Linked DNA regions of Saccharomyces cerevisiae S288C. Each later gene encodes a partner of the first gene's protein in a complex. Each region holds a gene or a part of one and is shown in the gene's direction. Other genes may lie near its edges.

The links. Proteins that work in one complex are often made in the same cells at the same time.
Region 2: the proteins of SSL1 (region 1) and RAD3 are in contact, whole or in part, in a cryo-EM structure (PDB 7K01), measured with the Saccharomyces cerevisiae proteins. Residues at the interface, in NP_013105.1 of Saccharomyces cerevisiae: Glu134 (codon at 4,161), Asn207 (codon at 4,380), Leu239 (codon at 4,476), Ser240 (codon at 4,479), Thr241 (codon at 4,482), Thr242 (codon at 4,485), Asp243 (codon at 4,488), Ile247 (codon at 4,500), His248 (codon at 4,503), Ser267 (codon at 4,560), Ala268 (codon at 4,563), Gln269 (codon at 4,566), Val270 (codon at 4,569), Ala271 (codon at 4,572), Ile272 (codon at 4,575), Ile290 (codon at 4,629), Leu292 (codon at 4,635), Asp293 (codon at 4,638), His296 (codon at 4,647); in NP_011098.3 of Saccharomyces cerevisiae: Ile532 (codon at 3,566), Pro534 (codon at 3,572), Asp535 (codon at 3,575), Lys565 (codon at 3,665), His566 (codon at 3,668), Ser591 (codon at 3,743), Asn592 (codon at 3,746), Gly593 (codon at 3,749), Arg594 (codon at 3,752), Gln615 (codon at 3,815), Tyr676 (codon at 3,998), Lys718 (codon at 4,124), Arg722 (codon at 4,136), Ala725 (codon at 4,145), Gln726 (codon at 4,148).
Region 3: the proteins of SSL1 (region 1) and TFB1 are in contact, whole or in part, in a cryo-EM structure (PDB 7K01), measured with the Saccharomyces cerevisiae proteins. Residues at the interface, in NP_013105.1 of Saccharomyces cerevisiae: Gly177 (codon at 4,290), Leu178 (codon at 4,293), Ala179 (codon at 4,296), Gln184 (codon at 4,311), Asn207 (codon at 4,380), Asn212 (codon at 4,395), Met216 (codon at 4,407), Gly219 (codon at 4,416), Leu220 (codon at 4,419), Leu222 (codon at 4,425), Pro223 (codon at 4,428), Thr242 (codon at 4,485), Asp243 (codon at 4,488), Pro244 (codon at 4,491), Gly245 (codon at 4,494), Asp246 (codon at 4,497), Pro333 (codon at 4,758), Thr334 (codon at 4,761), Phe335 (codon at 4,764), Cys336 (codon at 4,767), Ser337 (codon at 4,770), Ser340 (codon at 4,779), Lys341 (codon at 4,782), Asn351 (codon at 4,812), Cys352 (codon at 4,815), His353 (codon at 4,818), Ser354 (codon at 4,821), Pro364 (codon at 4,851), Cys365 (codon at 4,854), Cys366 (codon at 4,857); in NP_010597.3 of Saccharomyces cerevisiae: Pro215 (codon at 2,580), Arg218 (codon at 2,589), Ala219 (codon at 2,592), Leu222 (codon at 2,601), Ser223 (codon at 2,604), Gln226 (codon at 2,613), Lys227 (codon at 2,616), Val228 (codon at 2,619), Gly229 (codon at 2,622), Pro230 (codon at 2,625), Tyr231 (codon at 2,628), Asn232 (codon at 2,631), Leu389 (codon at 3,102), Glu548 (codon at 3,579), Arg551 (codon at 3,588), Thr555 (codon at 3,600), Cys558 (codon at 3,609), Glu559 (codon at 3,612), Lys562 (codon at 3,621), Ala614 (codon at 3,777), Tyr615 (codon at 3,780), Pro618 (codon at 3,789), Ser622 (codon at 3,801), Lys629 (codon at 3,822).

The regions. Positions count from the first base shown.
Region 1 is NC_001144.5:156,288-163,316, forward strand, and holds SSL1 (TFIIH/NER complex subunit SSL1), read left to right. Parts: upstream 1-3,761; coding exon 3,762-5,147; downstream 5,148-7,029. Other genes in the region: NOC3 (Noc3p), read right to left, coding at 1-47; CMS1 (Cms1p), read right to left, coding at 568-1,443; THI73 (Thi73p), read right to left, coding at 1,647-3,218; mitogen-activated protein kinase kinase kinase SSK1, read right to left, coding at 5,468-7,029. UniProt on the Saccharomyces cerevisiae protein: Component of the general transcription and DNA repair factor IIH (TFIIH) core complex, which is involved in general and transcription-coupled nucleotide excision repair (NER) of damaged DNA and, when complexed to TFIIK, in RNA transcription by RNA polymerase II.
Region 2 is NC_001137.3:525,110-531,687, forward strand, and holds RAD3 (TFIIH/NER complex ATP-dependent 5'-3' DNA helicase subunit RAD3), read left to right. Parts: upstream 1-1,972; coding exon 1,973-4,309; downstream 4,310-6,578. Other genes in the region: RPH1 (Rph1p), read left to right, coding at 1-650; adenylate kinase ADK2, read left to right, coding at 865-1,542; ATP-dependent RNA helicase BRR2, read right to left, coding at 4,421-6,578. UniProt on the Saccharomyces cerevisiae protein: ATP-dependent 5'-3' DNA helicase.
Region 3 is NC_001136.10:1,083,128-1,089,262, forward strand, and holds TFB1 (TFIIH/NER complex subunit TFB1), read left to right. Parts: upstream 1-1,937; coding exon 1,938-3,866; downstream 3,867-6,135. Other genes in the region: SUM1 (Sum1p), read right to left, coding at 1-1,189; SSF2 (rRNA-binding ribosome biosynthesis protein), read left to right, coding at 4,454-5,815; PIB1 (phosphatidylinositol-3-phosphate-binding ubiquitin-protein ligase), read right to left, coding at 6,092-6,135. UniProt on the Saccharomyces cerevisiae protein: Component of the general transcription and DNA repair factor IIH (TFIIH) core complex, which is involved in general and transcription-coupled nucleotide excision repair (NER) of damaged DNA and, when complexed to TFIIK, in RNA transcription by RNA polymerase II.

The DNA.
Region 1 (7,029 bases):
GCAGTCCTTTCCTGAATGCGAAATTGAGATCTATTTCTCTTAGCCATTATTACTATGATATCTCCAGCTTTTATCCCGGAATTATACTCTTATGATTGAAGACATAAAATGCCAAGTTTATACCATGAAAATACTATATATGGCAGGCAGGTGAATGAGATGAGATAAAATTTTCAGTTTTCGGGCATCGCTGAAAAAATTCAAAAACTAAAGTAAAACGACGTCCCATGGTCTACTCTACGGTGAAGAAAATGAGGGAAGACATTGAATTTCTGAATCTAAGTAACTACAAAAAAGCATACACTCCATGGAAAGAGTAAAATAGGATAAATTGGTTTTATGTAGTTAAAGAAAAAATACATTGTTATATATGGAGTTTGCTGCGCGCCTAGGCGTTCTCGAAGTTTCTCCTTTGATTTTACTTTTTGGAAGGGCTTTGGACAATTTAAAGAAGATAATTTGAAGTACCCCATCAAATGCTAGAATGAAATATTTAATATACTAAATTAAGGCTGGTATTTAAAAACGTAATCTTATGTGTAGAACCTCAGTGAAAAAGCGCTATTATTAATATAACAGTATTTTCACGGAGCTTTTTTTATTCAAAAAGGTTTTCAAGACTTGGCAGAGGACGGCTGCATTCTCGAATGATAATATAGTATTATCCTTAGGATCTAAATAACTTGCATCAAGAATGATATCTAACTTTTCCTTACCTTGGAAAAGTAAGTCAGTAGCTTCTATAATTTTCTGCATTCTTGTTGGAGTGGCAATAAAATATAGTGAATCTTTATTTTTGTTTGATTTTTTAGAGCTGTCAGTAAGTAAACGTTCCACGGTGGCTATGTCATCCTTTAGTTTACTTTTAGAGAATAATTTGACGCAATTTTTGCCACCGTTTAGACTACGATAAACGTCTGCTACTCTAATATTAGACATAGAAAAAACAATTTTTTTTGGAGCTACGGAAAATTTTTGAATAAAGGCTGGGAAATTGCTTAATCTGCGTTCAGCGTCAAATTTTTCTGTCGAAAGAAAATCATTTCTTTTGAAGTAAAGTTCCTCTAATTCTAAAACACTCAAGTCAGGATTTTTTTCTCGTATCAAAGTTGTTAGGTACTCAATAATTTTTTCTGGTGAACTTGCTGGAAGTGCTTTTCGTTGTGAGACGATATACTGGCTTTCCTCTTTCTTTTTCTCAATTAGCTTTGATTTTTTCTGTAGCTTTTTCTGTCTTTTCGAAATAGGTCTATTCGAATCATCTTCTGAATTTCTCTCCTCTTTTTTCCCATCTATATCATCAACGTCATCGTCATCTTGTTCTATAGACCTCTTTTGTACCTTTTTGGTTGGGGGACTACCATCCTTGGCGTCAAAAATTACTTCATGTTCGGCATCAAAATCATAGGCGAGTCCATCATCTAAATCATCTGGATTAGACATTTTCAGCTCAATTGTCCTGACGATATGTTTAGAAGTTAGTAGCGGGGATCAAATTTCGACTTTCATTGCCTCATCCATGGTCATCTCAAAAATTTTCTCTTCAATTTTTTGGTAAATACCAAGTGCAATGAATGTTTGGGTGTCTTTGAATATTGAATATTACAGACTAAAAATATTATATATTGTAAATTAAAAGTTGATTATTAGTAAATGTACCTGAAATTTCTGTTTTCGATATCAGTCAAGTCCAAAAATTGGTACTTCTTCCTTTCTTGACCTTCTTGTTCCTTATCACGCTTTTCGTTCTCCTTCTTGCAAATGTAGCCAATGTATAATTGTAGGGGAACACAAACACACTGAGTGACCAATAAGGCAATCTTTGCTGGTATGTAACGTGGAGCAGAGTATGCCCTAAACATCTGTGGAGCAATAATACAGGAGACATTGTATACAATCATTGTAATAGCATTTCTAAAAACTCTTTTGGTGTAACCGGAGGTGTTGCATGAATTCCAGATGTAAATATTGGTAATGACACAGGAACCACTGTAAAGCAAGTACAGAGAAAATAAGTTACCGATCTTATGGGATAAGGGTAAACTGATAAGAACGATACAACCTATAATAGCTGGAATATACATAGATGTGGTTATGAGTGTGATATGACCCCAGCGGGACAACATTTGAGTTGTTATAAGAATAATCATAGCCGTAATGGCACCAATAGGCAACTGCAGTAATGCTGTTTCGTACTTGTCGAAACCAAAAGTACCAGTGATGGTCACTGAAAATGTACCAATGGCACCAGTAGAAATTTGAGAACATGCAGTTAATAAAAGCATCGGCCAAGTAAACTTATCATGAAGGAATAGTTCTTTAACTTGCTGCTTCTTAAACTTCTTTGTTTCCAGGCCAGTTTGGTTAGCTCTGATATGCTCAACAACTTGAATTTTTTCCTCTTTGTTTAGGAACCAAGCATTGGTGACGTTATCTGGAAGGTATAAGAATGTTAGAACACCAAACGCAACTGTAACCAGACCAACGACCAAAAACATTATTTGCCAAGAGGTGAAAGCGGTACCATGATAATGTAAAAAGCCAAAAGAAATTAACCCGCCCACAATATAACCTGTACCAGCCTGTGTGGCCCAGAATCCAATTCTTGCACTCTGTTCAGATTTAGTATAGTACATACCACTAATAGCGATACAACCAACTGCACTCGAGGATTCAAAGAGACCTAGGAGAGTACGAACGACCATCAACGAGGCGTACGTCTTACAAGCAGCATGGCAAGCCAACACGATACCCCAGACGGTAATAAAAGTACCTAGGATTTTGGAAATGGGGAATTTTTGAATTAAGTAAGTGACCACAGGTTCCATGAAAATGTAAGCAGCAGAAAAGATAGTACCCAAATTAGAAAATTCGTTACCTTTCAAATGATCTTTGATACCCATAGATGCAGCGTAGTTCAGCAGAGCCTTATCCAAAAACATCAGAAGATATGTACAGCATAAAAAGGGCAGGATGAAGAGGTCAACTTTTCTCAGGACCTTAGGAGATAATTCATGGGAACCATAGAAGTTGGCTTCTTCGCCTGCTACAACATCGTCTTCATTAGCCGTGGAGCTTTCGTCGAGACCGTTCTGTTTCAGGAATCTTAAAGCAACGTCCGCATCGTCTACATTAATGCTCGAGGTACTTACGGAACAACTATCAGCGTTAGCTGCCTTCTTCTCCACGTCCATGGATCGTTGTGACATGTTTTTCATTGTATTGATTTGCTGACACTCTCACTACTTCTCAGCAACAACAAAGTAAACTTTAATCTATCATACTTTGAACTATCTTATATACGTGTATATATGCACCCGCTGAGATGCTCATCGAGATTGCTCATCACCTCTGAAAAGGCTGTCTGTCACCACCATGTTTTCCGCCGGACCAAATGACAGTTCCTTAAGGGAAACTCAAAGAGACTATATTAACTAAGGAGGATCAACCAGATATGCAAAAAAAACAAATAGTTATGACGGCACTCGAACCAACCAAACACCACCCTATAATTAATGTTGATAATGATAGCGACTCGAAATTTGCCAATAAAACCTGTCTATTACGCGTCATCTACTTGAGAGTAATATACTGGAAGTTCGAGATACTCCGCACAGGGTCTGGGTGGTAGGTTTCTTTGCTATTGTATAGTTTTTCAAGATACGTAAAAGGTCTTCATCTTATCTTATATAGATGCAGGTGATTACTAGTGGGGCAAGTCGGCAGCTAATTGCGTGTGTGCGGAAGGATTGTGCAGTAGAATGGCTCCTGTAGTTATTTCAGAATCTGAAGAGGATGAGGATAGAGTTGCCATTACTAGAAGAACTAAGAGACAAGTTCATTTTGATGGCGAGGGAGATGATCGTGTAGACCAACAGCAACAGCAGCACAGTTCAAGCCACAGGGATAGGGATAAACATGTGCAGCGTAAGAAGAAGAAAAGGCTCTCGAATAGAAACCTGCAAGGTTCAAATGGTGGGTACGCTTGGGAGGATGAGATCAAGAGAAGTTGGGATTTGGTGAAAGTGGACGATGAAGGGGATATGGCATCTCTTGTGGCTAGCATAGTCGAGGCCAGAAAGAAACGTACTGCTAAGAAAAACATAACGCCATACCAAAGAGGTATTATCAGAAGTTTAATATTAACACTAGATTGTAGTGAAGCTATGTTGGAAAAGGATTTGAGACCAAACAGGCATGCCATGATTATCCAGTACGCCATAGATTTTGTCCATGAATTTTTCGACCAAAATCCGATATCTCAAATGGGTATTATCATAATGAGAAACGGTTTGGCACAACTGGTCAGCCAAGTTAGCGGAAACCCGCAGGATCACATTGATGCGTTGAAATCCATCAGGAAACAAGAACCGAAAGGAAACCCTTCATTGCAAAATGCATTGGAAATGGCAAGAGGCCTTTTATTGCCTGTTCCTGCGCATTGTACAAGGGAAGTACTGATTGTATTTGGTAGTCTTTCCACAACTGATCCTGGAGATATTCACCAAACTATCGATTCGTTAGTTTCTGAGAAAATTAGAGTGAAGGTTTTGGGGTTATCAGCTCAAGTGGCCATATGTAAAGAATTATGCAAGGCAACGAATTATGGTGATGAATCCTTCTATAAAATTTTACTCGATGAAACTCACTTAAAGGAGCTATTTAACGAGGCTGTTACCCCTTTACCCGTTAACAAAATTAATAAGGGTTTCACACTCGTAAAGATGGGGTTTCCGACAAGGATATTCGAAGATACTCCAACTTTTTGTTCGTGCCATTCCAAGTTAGTTTACGGCGGATACTTCTGTCCCAATTGTCATAGTAAAGTTTGTTCATTGCCCACAGTCTGTCCATGTTGTGACTTGATGCTAATCCTTTCTACCCACCTGGCCAGATCATATCACCATCTGATGCCGTTAAAAACATTTGCAGAAGTACCTACAACAGAAAAATTTCGATCAGAAGACTGCTTTAGTTGCCAGTCAAGATTTCCCATACTGAAAAACCATAAAAATGGTAAACTACTGACAAGTTCTCGCTATCGTTGTGAAGATTGTAAACAAGAATTTTGTGTTGACTGCGATGTGTTCATCCATGAAATCCTTCATAACTGCCCAGGCTGTGAATCCAAGCCCGTAATAACTTAACGAAAATCTGTCAGCGTATAACACGATCACTCTTCCATCATATAACAAATCCAAGTAGTAGAGAACGAAATAGTTTTTGATGGACATATAACTACATAATTATTACAAAAATAACCTCATTTAATGTCCTATTGTTTATTACGAGAAAATCTTAATAGCACTTACGGCATTAAGAATATTTATTACTATTTTCAATTTATCAGGCACTTATTCAACTAAAAAAAAAAAAAAAATTCTTTGTTTTACAATAATATTAATAATTATTTTGAATAAATATCGTTACATTCTATCATAATGTCCTCTACACGGTACAACCAAACTCACAATTCTATTTGAGTGGGCGAGAGGTTTGAATTTTTTCTTACTGGGCTGTGTGTAGGGGTCATAGATGTCGCTTGTTTGAATGAGTGAGGGTTGGAAGGTGCAATAGGTTTCTGTGGAGATTTAACCAAAACACTGTCGGTCATCCGGCTTTCTCCCTGCTTCCAGCTGTCAAAATCAATCAAGGCTTGCATACATCCCCACTCTGTAATTTTCTTACTAAGCCAGTGTAAATTCACTGGTTTAGTCAGGTAGTCGTTACAACCAGAAAGAAGTGCTTTTCTTTTATCCATCTGAGAGTTAGATGCGGTCAATGCTACAATAATCACGGGCGCCTGAGAGAATCTCTTTGAAGTACCTTTTTCAAGATTGGAGTGTGAGTTATTGAGACTTTTTTGAATGCCAATGCCATTTTGTTTTTCGAAGTCCCTAATCTGCTTGGCAGCTTCTATACCAGACAAGACAGGCAGCTGTAAATCCATAAATATTAAATGAAGACCGCCTTCCTTCCAAATATTAACAGCTTCTTGACCATTTTTAGCCAGTTTATATGAGATTTTGTGTTTCCTCAGAAAGGAACCTAAGATAGCTTGGTTGATGACGTTGTCTTCAACTATTAAAACATTAATTTTGGGGAAAACTTTTTCACTTGTGGTGGTAAAAAGGTTTGGTAAAGGATCTGGTGGAGAGGAAACAGCAAAAGGTGCGTTATAAAGCGAGTTTGAGTAATGCGGCGTTTGACTACTTGTTAATATTGGTGATGCGGGCGTAACGTCTTCTTTTCTTCTTTGTACTTCCGACATGGGTTGCGTTATGCCTATACCAGCTTCATTAAGTGATCCGCTTTCTTGCGAAGGGGATCCGGTGTTCACTTCTAACTCTGAATGAGTAATTGTGTCTTCATTATTGAAAGATGAATCCGTGTGGGCCACTGGTTTATTTCGAAAATCTACCCCTCCTTTATAACCTTTTGGTAACAGCAAGATTGCTTGCCAAGGAGACTCGGCATCCTTTTCCTCATCCTTCAGTTCTTGTGACGCTCTTCTCAATTGCTCTTCATCAGTTATTAATTTAAATTCCTGAGGGCTGCTATTGCCATCTTTACCTTTAAGATCTGCTTTATCACCAATTGTTTGCTTAAGACCTTGTTCGCCCGGAGAAATATGGTCGTCTAGATGAAAAACACCAACGGCCCCATGGTCTGTTGGTTGAGTTTTCTGCTGCGAAATTTCTTCATTCGTAGGAACATAGTCTACAACATTTAAGATATCTAAAGGCGGTACATCCTGGCGTAAATTAACATTCGAAAATATCAGCAAAGGCTGCGATGCAGGTTGGGAACCCATGGTTCCGAATAGTTCCTTATATATGTTAATAGCCAATTCATCCGGTTCAAAGATGATTTTATAAGTGCAATCATTAACTGATTCTGTGGTAAAATTTAAACCTTTTCTAATCAACGGCCTTGTGTATTTATTTTTATTATGCGGTGAGACGTATGTAAGACCAGCTGATGCCATAATTTGATTATCAGAATGAAATTTAGGGTAGGGTGAGACTG
Region 2 (6,578 bases), on another chromosome or scaffold:
TAAATATATCCAGGGAATCGTCAAGAAGCCCTATAGCTCTGAATTACGAGGCAAGACAACAACATTCGCAACAACATTCATTCTCCACACCATCAACCGTGTCAAATCTCTCTACTTCTGTGCTCGGGCCACTGAGTGACACAAACGACATAAAAACACCGCACCCTGAAAGACCAAATCACAAGACAGCAAATAGAATACTCAAAAAGGAATCTCCTGTCGAGACATCAAAATCAAATCTTATACTTTCAAAGGTTGCATCCACTCGCCAAGAGGATTCTTTTACAAGCCGAAATGACGATCTGGACAAAGAACAAGGCTCTTCTCCATTAAACTCTAAGTTTGCGCCCGAAGAAATCGTGTTATCAGGTAAGAACAAGATTTATATTTGTAAGGAATGCCAAAGAAAGTTCTCTTCTGGTCACCATCTTACAAGACACAAAAAATCCGTCCACTCTGGTGAGAAACCTCATTCTTGTCCCAAATGTGGCAAAAGATTTAAAAGGAGAGATCACGTTCTGCAGCACTTGAATAAGAAAATACCGTGTATTTCAAACGAAACAACAGTAGATGCTCCAATAATGAACCCTACAGTGCAACCGCAGGACGGGAAAGCGGCCATTAATCAACAGAGTACACCTTTAAACTGACTCACGATTGCCAGTTGTTTACCGAGATCTCTCATTTTGAAGGCTCTTAAAATGTGCTCGGTCGGCCGGGAATTCGCGAAAACCCACATTCACTAATAAATACCATTACAATAACCATCATTATATAGATACACATGTGTAGAAAAGGATAATATACGTATATATATTTGTTTGTAAATCTTTAAATTTTCAGGAACAGGGTTAGCAAGCATCAATGAAAGCAGACGCGAAACAAATAACACATCTACTCAAACCTCTTCGACTTTTATTATTGGGGGCTCCAGGGTCAGGTAAAGGGACACAGACTTCGAGATTACTAAAGCAAATTCCACAATTATCTTCAATTTCGTCAGGCGACATTTTACGTCAGGAAATAAAATCTGAATCTACCCTAGGCCGAGAGGCTACTACCTACATTGCTCAAGGCAAGTTATTACCGGATGATCTCATAACGCGTCTGATAACTTTTCGTCTTTCGGCATTGGGTTGGTTAAAACCATCTGCCATGTGGTTGCTCGATGGATTTCCTCGAACTACTGCGCAAGCTTCTGCCTTAGACGAGCTGCTGAAACAGCATGACGCCAGCTTGAATCTAGTGGTAGAGCTAGATGTACCCGAATCCACCATATTAGAAAGGATCGAGAACAGATATGTTCACGTTCCTAGTGGGAGAGTGTATAACTTACAATATAATCCTCCCAAAGTGCCAGGATTAGACGATATCACCGGAGAACCATTGACCAAGAGGCTTGATGACACAGCGGAAGTGTTTAAAAAAAGGCTAGAAGAGTACAAGAAAACAAATGAGCCTTTAAAAGATTATTACAAAAAAAGTGGGATTTTTGGTACCGTCTCTGGGGAAACATCAGATATTATCTTCCGAAATTATTGAACCTTATAACCAGCAAATTCGGCTAATAGGGTGATTTAACGCTACACTAACTGCAAGTATATGTTAACCTTCCCCGAGACTTTGAAAAACCGTGACTCTAGTTGGAAGTCAGCATCTCGTCAACCAAATGATTACAGTTCACTTTGAATATTCTGAATAGCCTTTATGATATGAGTTAATCCTATATTAATCATGGCCGACGGCATTTAAGCGATGTATATGAAATTTATGAAAAATTAAAGTAGCGTACTTTATGCTACATAGCTTTTGAAAAGAAATCTCTGGTCTGTAAATAATAAATAAATATATATATATGTATATCTTAAAGTTGACAAAGTACTGTTAGCCATTCATAGAAATACTATATTTCATCTTGGGTTGAAGGTGATAATCGGCCCGATTTGACTACACTTTAAGAAGATTGGAAACAATGAAGTTTTATATAGATGATTTACCAGTGCTTTTTCCATACCCCAAGATATATCCAGAGCAGTATAATTATATGTGCGATATTAAAAAGACTCTGGATGTAGGTGGAAATAGTATCTTGGAGATGCCTTCAGGAACAGGTAAAACGGTCTCATTACTATCCCTCACAATTGCCTACCAGATGCACTACCCAGAACATAGAAAGATCATATATTGTTCTCGTACTATGTCTGAAATTGAAAAAGCTTTAGTAGAGTTAGAGAACCTTATGGATTACAGAACTAAAGAACTAGGCTATCAAGAGGATTTTCGAGGTCTTGGCTTGACATCAAGAAAAAATTTGTGTTTGCATCCCGAAGTGAGTAAGGAACGAAAAGGTACAGTAGTCGATGAAAAGTGCCGTAGAATGACAAATGGGCAGGCGAAGAGAAAATTAGAAGAGGATCCAGAGGCAAATGTAGAATTGTGTGAATACCATGAGAATTTGTACAATATTGAAGTAGAGGATTATCTTCCAAAAGGCGTATTTTCTTTTGAAAAACTTTTGAAATACTGCGAAGAAAAAACACTTTGTCCATATTTTATTGTTCGTCGTATGATTTCTCTTTGTAACATTATTATTTATTCTTACCATTATCTATTAGATCCTAAAATTGCTGAAAGAGTTTCCAACGAGGTTTCTAAAGATAGCATTGTCATTTTTGATGAAGCGCACAATATTGATAATGTGTGTATCGAATCGCTGTCATTAGACTTGACAACGGATGCATTGAGAAGAGCCACACGAGGTGCTAATGCGTTAGATGAACGTATTTCTGAGGTCAGAAAGGTTGACTCACAGAAATTACAGGATGAATACGAAAAACTAGTTCAAGGTCTCCATTCTGCAGATATTCTTACCGACCAGGAAGAGCCATTTGTGGAAACACCTGTATTGCCCCAAGATCTTCTAACAGAAGCAATCCCGGGAAATATACGAAGAGCCGAGCATTTTGTTTCATTTTTGAAAAGATTGATAGAATATCTGAAGACCAGAATGAAAGTTCTTCACGTTATTTCAGAAACGCCAAAATCATTTCTACAGCATTTAAAACAGTTAACTTTCATAGAAAGGAAACCTCTTCGGTTTTGCTCAGAAAGGCTATCATTACTTGTAAGAACTTTAGAAGTTACAGAGGTAGAAGATTTTACTGCATTGAAAGACATAGCAACTTTTGCTACTCTTATATCAACATATGAGGAAGGGTTTTTACTAATTATTGAACCGTATGAAATCGAAAATGCTGCAGTTCCGAATCCGATTATGAGATTTACTTGCTTAGATGCATCGATTGCCATCAAACCAGTCTTTGAGAGATTTTCTTCCGTTATTATCACTTCAGGGACCATATCACCATTAGACATGTATCCAAGAATGTTAAACTTTAAAACTGTTTTACAAAAATCATATGCCATGACCTTAGCCAAAAAATCATTTCTACCAATGATTATTACCAAGGGTTCTGATCAAGTTGCAATTTCTTCAAGATTTGAAATCAGAAACGATCCTAGTATTGTTCGTAATTACGGTTCTATGCTAGTAGAGTTTGCCAAGATCACACCTGATGGAATGGTTGTTTTTTTCCCCTCATATCTATATATGGAAAGTATTGTTTCAATGTGGCAAACAATGGGTATTCTTGACGAAGTTTGGAAACATAAATTAATTTTAGTTGAGACTCCTGATGCTCAAGAAACTTCTTTAGCCTTAGAAACCTATAGAAAGGCTTGCTCAAATGGGCGTGGGGCAATTTTGCTTTCTGTTGCTAGAGGAAAGGTATCTGAAGGTATCGATTTTGATCATCAATATGGCAGAACTGTGCTGATGATAGGTATCCCGTTTCAATACACAGAATCGCGTATTTTGAAAGCTCGCCTAGAATTCATGAGGGAGAACTATCGCATCAGAGAAAACGACTTCTTATCTTTCGATGCGATGAGACATGCAGCTCAATGTCTGGGGAGAGTACTGAGAGGGAAGGACGACTATGGTGTAATGGTACTAGCAGACCGTAGGTTTTCAAGAAAAAGAAGCCAGTTACCAAAATGGATTGCTCAAGGTTTGTCTGACGCCGATTTGAACCTTTCGACTGACATGGCCATATCCAATACCAAACAATTCTTGAGAACAATGGCACAACCCACAGACCCTAAAGACCAAGAGGGTGTATCTGTTTGGAGTTATGAAGATTTAATAAAGCACCAGAATAGCAGAAAAGATCAAGGTGGATTTATTGAAAACGAAAACAAAGAAGGAGAACAGGATGAAGATGAAGATGAAGATATAGAAATGCAGTGATGCAATGATACGCTTTTGCTATAAACTGTATATATCACAATTAGATTAAATAGCCGCAAGAGAATGTTATATATTGAAATCCATTCGATTATCCAGGACTAAACAATGATTTTATTTCACATTTATTTCAAAGGACAACTCTTTATCTGCGTCAAGATATGAATCACAGACACACCAAATTGTTAAGTTATGTTTACCAGATGTCGGAGTGTCAAATTCCAATTCATATTGCTGAGTCTCTTTATTTAAAGTAACTTTCTTGATCGCATAAAGCTCTTTTTTAGATACTTCACCTAAAACCAACCACCAACTTTCTAGCTTATCAAACGGATACTTTTCAGATGTTACTTGTAAGTTCTCAGGTTCAACATCTCTTGTCAATTGAATGGTAATTTTCTGTTTTACACCTGAAATTAACGAATCAGAATTATTCAACGAATAAGTAAGTTCAACGTTGGGGTAATTGTTAACAAACGCGGCGACCTGCGCAAGCTGTGAATCAGTAAGCGTTAAAATTTCATCCCTCTCTTCATCCTCAAGGGCCATTATATCATAGACCGTCTCGACGTTAATTTCTTTACATTTTTCCAAAATTTTGTTGTTGAAGTGTGGAATCTGTCTCAACGGATTATCAACGTCCCATACACCCTGAATCAACATCTGCGCCAAATCCATGGCGGTAGTAGCATTCAAATACCCGTTTGCTGAAAGGATATCAACCACTACGTTAATTAGTGGAACAACCTTTTCTAGAATGTCTTTTAAATCATTTTGAAAGTCGACAGGTAATTCAAGACGTGAAAAATATGCTTGTAACAATAAGAAAACTTTAAAGCTCACCGAACCAGAAGAGGTGTGTTCAGGGAATCTCAATGGTAGTCTTTTACTTAATTTGACAAGTAATGCTCTGTCTCCTTTTCTGAGTGGAACACTTTCGAATTCTACTGCTGTTGAAAGAACATACAGCATGTTTTTGAGCGTTGACGTATTCGATAAAGAAGAAACGAATGACTGAATAGTAAAAAATGATACGCCATAGTGAGAAGCAATTAGCCCGTTGCTCAAGGTAGAAATGATTTCAGTTGCTTCATCATCTCCTCCATTAACTTCTGCGGTTACTTCAGCTTCTGTATCGTCAATTTCAATGAAGGATGATTCAACTAAGTCATTCAAACAAGTTTCAACTAAATTACTCAAAAAAACTGAAATTCCATGTGGAGACGTATCCCTTACGCCATAATAGCTTGGATTCACATGGATACGACGATAGAAATACGAATATGTAAACCAGTCAACACAATCTTGTTTGCTTTGTATAATAGAATTTGCTATCTCGTTGTTCAGAGTATCATGAATAATATACTGTAGGTAACTCTCAGTAGGCAAAGGCTCAATTAAGAATTTTTTGTAGTAGGCCTTCATGTTGTGACTTGTCAAAATTAAAACCTTGCCTGCCATTGAATCGTTACCACTAGCTAGTCCCACCATTTCTAGAAGTTCATTTATGGTATATGGCATATATTTATGCTCTGCACCATCATAAAGGTTGGTTCCTAAAATAATCACTTCATCAGTTTTACAAGCGAATGCAGAACAATCCTTAGAAATGAGTAAAACCGATACCGCACCATATTCGTATAACCTTTTCACAATTCTTTCATCATTTGATGCCATCCCCTTATACAAAATACCAACACCGTGTTTTAAAGGTGCTCTTAGATGACCATCTGTTAACTTTTCAATGTATGGTACAATTTGCTCTTCTTCAACGTTCAACATATCCCATTCAATTGCTTTTGAAAACTTCATAAATGCAGACGCAACTTCCATACAATCCTTTCTAGATGGTAAGAACACCGAACTGGAATTACGATTTCCCGCTGCAGCAGCAGATGCTTCAAATGCCATTTGAAGCATCGAAAAATTGAATGATATGTGCTCAACATCTTTAAATGACTGAATATTAATTTCAAGAGGCTCAATTCTTTCGCTTGGAGAAAAGTTGTAGATGTTTGACTTCGTCATACCAGCCCATTCACCAAAATCACGAGCATTTGCCAAACAGTTCGAAAGGCAAACAAATCGAATTTTCTTTTCAAGTTGGGTTGCTATAAATATCATTCTAGAAATTAGCGTTTCATACACAGCACCGTAAACACCTTGGCTAATCTCATGAGCGTCATCATATATCATTAATTCTAAACTTTGGATGTTCTTCCTTTGTCTCCAACGACGTGACAAAAGCTCAAATTGCACGGGGGTAGCCAAG
Region 3 (6,135 bases), on another chromosome or scaffold:
TGGCTGACCTTGAAGTCCGAACCGGAGCCGGTTGTGACACAGGATTGGATGGAGATGATGGTATTTGATGAAATTTGGAAGATGGAAGCAAGGAATTTATTGGAATCTCGTTTTTAATCCGATTAGATGCATCTGACTTATCTATCGTATCCGTGGAATTGGATATCATTGTTTCCACTGTTCTCTTTTTTGGGGGCCTGCCTCTTTTTCTTTTGATTTGAATTAAGTTGTTCGGCGTAACAGGTGTTGGTGTGATGGAGCTAGAATTAGCAGTGGATGGTCGCTCTTTACCATTTTCATTGTTCGTTCTTTGCGGTACGGAAGTCAAGGACATATCAGCATCATCTCTTGATGATGAAGGGGCAGATAATAAAAGCGACTCTTGTTTCGTTGATGGTTCCACAAAATACCTTTTGGATTTAGACGTTTGTACTACGGCAGTCGGTAAAGTAATATTTACTGGTGAGAAAGGAGCACCCTGATTGGATGCACTTTTGAGATTGACCGAGGCTGCGTTTGACACTAACTTATTCATTGTGGAGGTCGAGGCATCTTTTCTTGGCCTGCCAGGTCCCCTTCGAGAAGAAGAGGTATTATGCTGTGAACTGGTATTGTTGGATGAATTTTCTATGAGAAGGTTAGAGTGATTTACTTTCGAAGTATTTTGCAACATTGTCGATAATTTGTTCAATCGTTCATTCAAATTATTGACCAATATGTCAGTATTTACTTGATTCTTCATGACATCATCCAGCTTATTTTCCAAAACTGATTGGTTGTGTGATAAAACTTTTAATGAGTTAAACAAATCCTGCACAGAATCAGTGAGGGAAGTGTCTTTGGAAAGCAAAGCCGTCTTCAAATCGTTGCATTGTTTTGTGACTTTGTCCATACCCTCTTTTAGGGCTTCAATAGATGAATGTGGAAAGGCCTCGGAATCTTTTATATGAAGCGGATTTGAACCAAAACCAGAGCCAACTTGTCGTTTTATATCAGAATCATCACTGACTGGTATGTCTGTGATGGATGGCAAAGCTTTAGCGTTCGCATCTGTATCTAGCTTCCTCAAACTATTAGCTTGATTTTGAGCACTGGTAAGTGCTAACGTATCTACGTCATCTTTGGGTCCAGACGGAAGTCTCTGTTCATTGGTTATGTTATCAGAAGGGGCTGTGGTGTTCTCAGACATCCCCGCAACAAACGAATTTTGTTAATTATGTATGAAACTTTTCGTTTGATCTCAATAATACCACTAGCGACTAAATTTTTATGATACTTAGCTACTTTAAACAAGTCCCTTGTGCTCTGTTTGCTGACACTTTTGATAAAATATGCCTGTGTATAATTCTTTTAGCAGTTTATTTCAAACACAAATGGTATTAAAAGGATAGATGAAAAAAAAAAAAAAATTAAAGCCACTAGTAATGATACAATCGTGGTATCACAAGCGCTGAATGAAACAAGTGTGGCTATCTATAGCGGATGCAAGTGGAGAACTTGTGAATCCAAACTGAAATATTTTGCCATCATTTGTTGTCCTTTCCCTTTTCCATTCAGGAAAAAAAAAAAAAATTTGACGTCGCCGTCGCGTCGCAGTCATATAATTACAGCAATTTATCTTGTTGAACGACGCAAATTAATGGAAATTGTGACTTACATAGTAAGTATTAGTAAACGTAGTTAAGGCCACGTGGGAAAGATATGAAAGGAGTGTAAGTAATGGATATCGGTCTAACGAAAATGGAAACCAATCTTTAAAAATGATAGTATGATTCGACAGTAAACTAGAAAAGCCACAACCCGTGGGACATGATAAGGCTGCTCGTTTTTGACGCAATTTTTAGACAATACTGAAATTTAGCATAATAAGCTTTCCCAGTGAAAGTAATAATATTTAACCTAGGGTAGGGGTAGGGAAAAAATAAAAGTAAACCATAATGTCACATTCCGGAGCTGCCATTTTTGAGAAAGTTTCTGGGATAATTGCCATAAATGAGGATGTTTCACCCGCAGAATTGACATGGAGGTCTACGGACGGTGACAAGGTTCACACAGTTGTCTTATCCACTATTGACAAGTTACAAGCTACCCCTGCTTCCAGTGAAAAAATGATGTTGAGGCTAATCGGGAAAGTGGATGAGTCAAAAAAGAGAAAAGACAACGAAGGAAATGAGGTTGTGCCCAAACCGCAACGTCATATGTTTTCGTTTAACAATAGAACAGTTATGGATAATATCAAGATGACCCTTCAACAAATCATCTCACGGTATAAAGATGCAGATATCTACGAAGAAAAGAGAAGAAGAGAGGAGTCTGCGCAACACACAGAAACACCAATGAGCTCTTCTTCTGTTACTGCAGGGACTCCCACACCACATCTCGATACACCACAATTGAATAATGGGGCTCCGTTGATTAATACAGCCAAACTAGATGATTCTCTCTCTAAAGAAAAATTGTTGACCAATTTAAAGCTACAGCAATCTTTACTGAAAGGAAACAAAGTTCTAATGAAGGTTTTTCAGGAAACAGTCATTAACGCCGGTTTGCCTCCATCTGAATTTTGGTCAACTAGAATTCCGTTATTGAGGGCTTTTGCCTTATCTACTTCTCAAAAAGTTGGGCCTTACAACGTTTTGTCAACTATCAAGCCGGTGGCTTCATCGGAAAACAAAGTCAATGTTAATTTGTCAAGAGAAAAAATTTTGAATATTTTTGAGAACTATCCAATTGTAAAGAAAGCTTACACTGATAATGTGCCCAAAAATTTCAAAGAACCAGAGTTCTGGGCAAGGTTCTTCTCTTCGAAGTTATTCAGAAAATTAAGGGGTGAAAAGATCATGCAAAATGATAGAGGTGACGTAATCATTGACAGGTACTTGACATTGGATCAAGAGTTCGACAGAAAAGATGATGACATGCTATTGCATCCTGTGAAAAAAATTATAGATTTAGATGGTAACATACAGGACGACCCAGTTGTACGAGGCAACAGGCCCGACTTCACTATGCAGCCAGGTGTGGATATTAATGGTAATAGCGATGGTACCGTGGACATCTTAAAGGGTATGAATAGATTGAGTGAAAAAATGATTATGGCTTTGAAGAATGAGTATTCAAGGACAAATCTACAGAACAAATCTAATATTACAAACGATGAGGAAGATGAAGATAATGATGAAAGAAATGAACTGAAAATCGATGACTTAAACGAAAGCTACAAGACAAACTATGCAATCATACATCTGAAAAGGAACGCACATGAAAAGACAACCGACAACGATGCGAAAAGCTCGGCAGACTCGATAAAGAATGCAGATTTGAAGGTTTCTAATCAACAAATGTTACAACAGTTGTCATTGGTCATGGATAATTTAATTAATAAGCTAGACTTGAACCAAGTAGTTCCTAACAACGAAGTCAGCAACAAGATCAATAAAAGAGTCATAACTGCAATCAAGATTAACGCCAAACAGGCTAAGCATAACAATGTTAATTCAGCACTCGGCTCTTTTGTCGACAACACTTCTCAAGCAAATGAATTAGAGGTGAAAAGTACCCTACCAATAGACCTATTAGAAAGTTGTAGAATGCTACACACAACGTGCTGTGAATTTCTAAAGCACTTTTATATTCATTTTCAGAGCGGTGAACAAAAGCAAGCCAGTACCGTCAAAAAACTTTATAATCATTTGAAGGACTGTATTGAAAAGCTGAATGAGCTATTTCAAGACGTCCTTAATGGTGATGGTGAATCTATGTCAAACACATGTACCGCCTATTTGAAGCCAGTTTTGAACTCCATTACTTTGGCTACTCATAAGTACGATGAGTACTTCAACGAATATAACAACAATTCGAACTAGAAATATAAAGGCTCTCCAGTTGTTACCACTTTTTACATTCATATTTTTCATCTATTTACTGCATGTTACATATTACATAAAACTTAATTGTGTGTATTCTTCCTTTTTGGTCTTTAGTCTCTATGTAAACAATAGAAAAACGCGGGACTCGATTAACGCTGTGCTGCACTGATGCAGCCGTGCGTGTAAATAAAACATTTAACGTGAAAACGCGCGCGAATGGCTTGTGAAACAAACAAGAAACAAACGGGAAATATTTCAGCATGTGATGTGGCTGAAAATTAGCAAACGATTCGTCAAAATAAATCAGTAATGGTGCTTTAGTTCTATTACAGCTTGCTAATGGTTCAGTAATATTTTCAAAAATTTTGCCAAACAGACCTAAGCACTTGCAATACTCCAGACTGTTAGTTCAGTCATTATCTATCATCTTGGACGATTTTGCAATTTTTTAGTGTAGATGCATCTCATCGACGGGCTTGTATGAATGATATTAAATAGGCAAAATAAACTAGTCTAGCTAATATTCGACTAAATTGCAGCTGCTAGGTCACCATCCCGCACATACCTTAGATATTTTGGAACTAATGGCTAAAAGAAGGCAGAAAAAGAGAACGCATGCGCAGATCACACCCGAGCAGGAACGAGATATTCCTAAATCCATGGTAATCAGAGTGGGACAAACTTCATTGGCTAACCATTCTCTAAACCAATTAGTAAAGGATTTTCGCCAGATCATGCAACCGCATACGGCCGTAAAACTAAAAGAGCGCAAGTCCAATAAACTGAAGGATTTTGTTGTTATGTGTGGCCCATTAGGTGTTACGCATCTTTTCATGTTCACTCAATCTGAAAAAACAGGAAATGTCTCGCTAAAGATAGCTAGAACTCCACAAGGTCCTACTGTTACTTTTCAAGTATTGGACTATTCACTGGGTAGAGATATCAAAAAATTTTTGAAGAGACCTAAATCGTTAAATAATGATGATGTATTAAATCCTCCATTGCTAGTGTTAAATGGGTTTTCCACATCGAAAAGATCTGATGAAGACGATCAGGATGTAAACGTGGAGAAGGTTATTGTTTCCATGTTCCAGAATATTTTCCCACCTCTGAATCCTGCAAGAACTTCGTTGAATTCTATCAAACGTATATTTATGATCAATAAAGACAGAGAAACGGGGGAAATTTCTATGCGCCACTATTTTATTGACATTCGAGAAGTAGAGATCTCTAGAAATCTAAAAAGGCTTTATAAAGCCAAAAATAATCTAAGTAAAACAGTGCCGAATTTGCATCGAAAAGAAGATATTTCTTCTTTGATATTAGATCATGACTTAGGCGCCTATACATCAGAATCTGAAATTGAAGATGACGCTATTGTGAGAGTGGTTGATAATCAGGACGTGAAGGCAAAACATTCTCAAACTTCGCTGTCGCAAAAAACACCCGTTAAAATGACAGATAACGAAGAACGTGAAAAAGGAATTGAAGAAGAAGATGTGGAAATGGAGGAACCTAAGCCTTCAGAAAATTCGCAACCAACTCCACGTAAGAAGGCTATCAAACTGACTGAATTAGGACCAAGATTAACTCTAAAACTGGTCAAAATAGAAGATGGTATTTGTTCAGGTAAAGTATTACATCATGAATTTGTTCAAAAATCAAGCGAAGAAATCAAAGCCTTAGAAAAGAGACACGCTGCAAAAATGAGGCTGAAGGAACAAAGAAGAAAGGAACAAGAAGAAAACATTGCTAAAAAAAAGGCTGTTAAAGATGCTAAAAAGCAACGTAAATTGGAAAGAAGAAAAGCTAGAGCAGAAGAACAGGGTGAAGGTCAAGGGAAAGATGGTGCAATGAGCGATGATGGATCTTCATCGAGTGAAGATGAGCATTATAGTGATGTACCAGAGGATTTGGATAGTGACTTATTCAGTGAAGTAGAATAATGCACGATATGTATATATATCCTCCGTACGTAACATCACTATCCATATAGTAGCCATGACTCCGATGGACTTAAAGAACCAGGAAGTGTCTGTTTATTCATAGGTGAGGGAACACCTCAAAGTAAATATTAATGAATATATAAGATCATAATTAAACAAATATATAGAAATCTTTTACAATTAAAGAAAAAAATAAAAGAAAAGGGAAGTTAAAACTTCGATTATTAACAGCTGAAAAATTAAACTTTGTAATGAAAAGCAAATTGGGAGTTATCGTTAAAATACGGCATCATGGAAAGGACAAAAGTTCCTTTTAACAA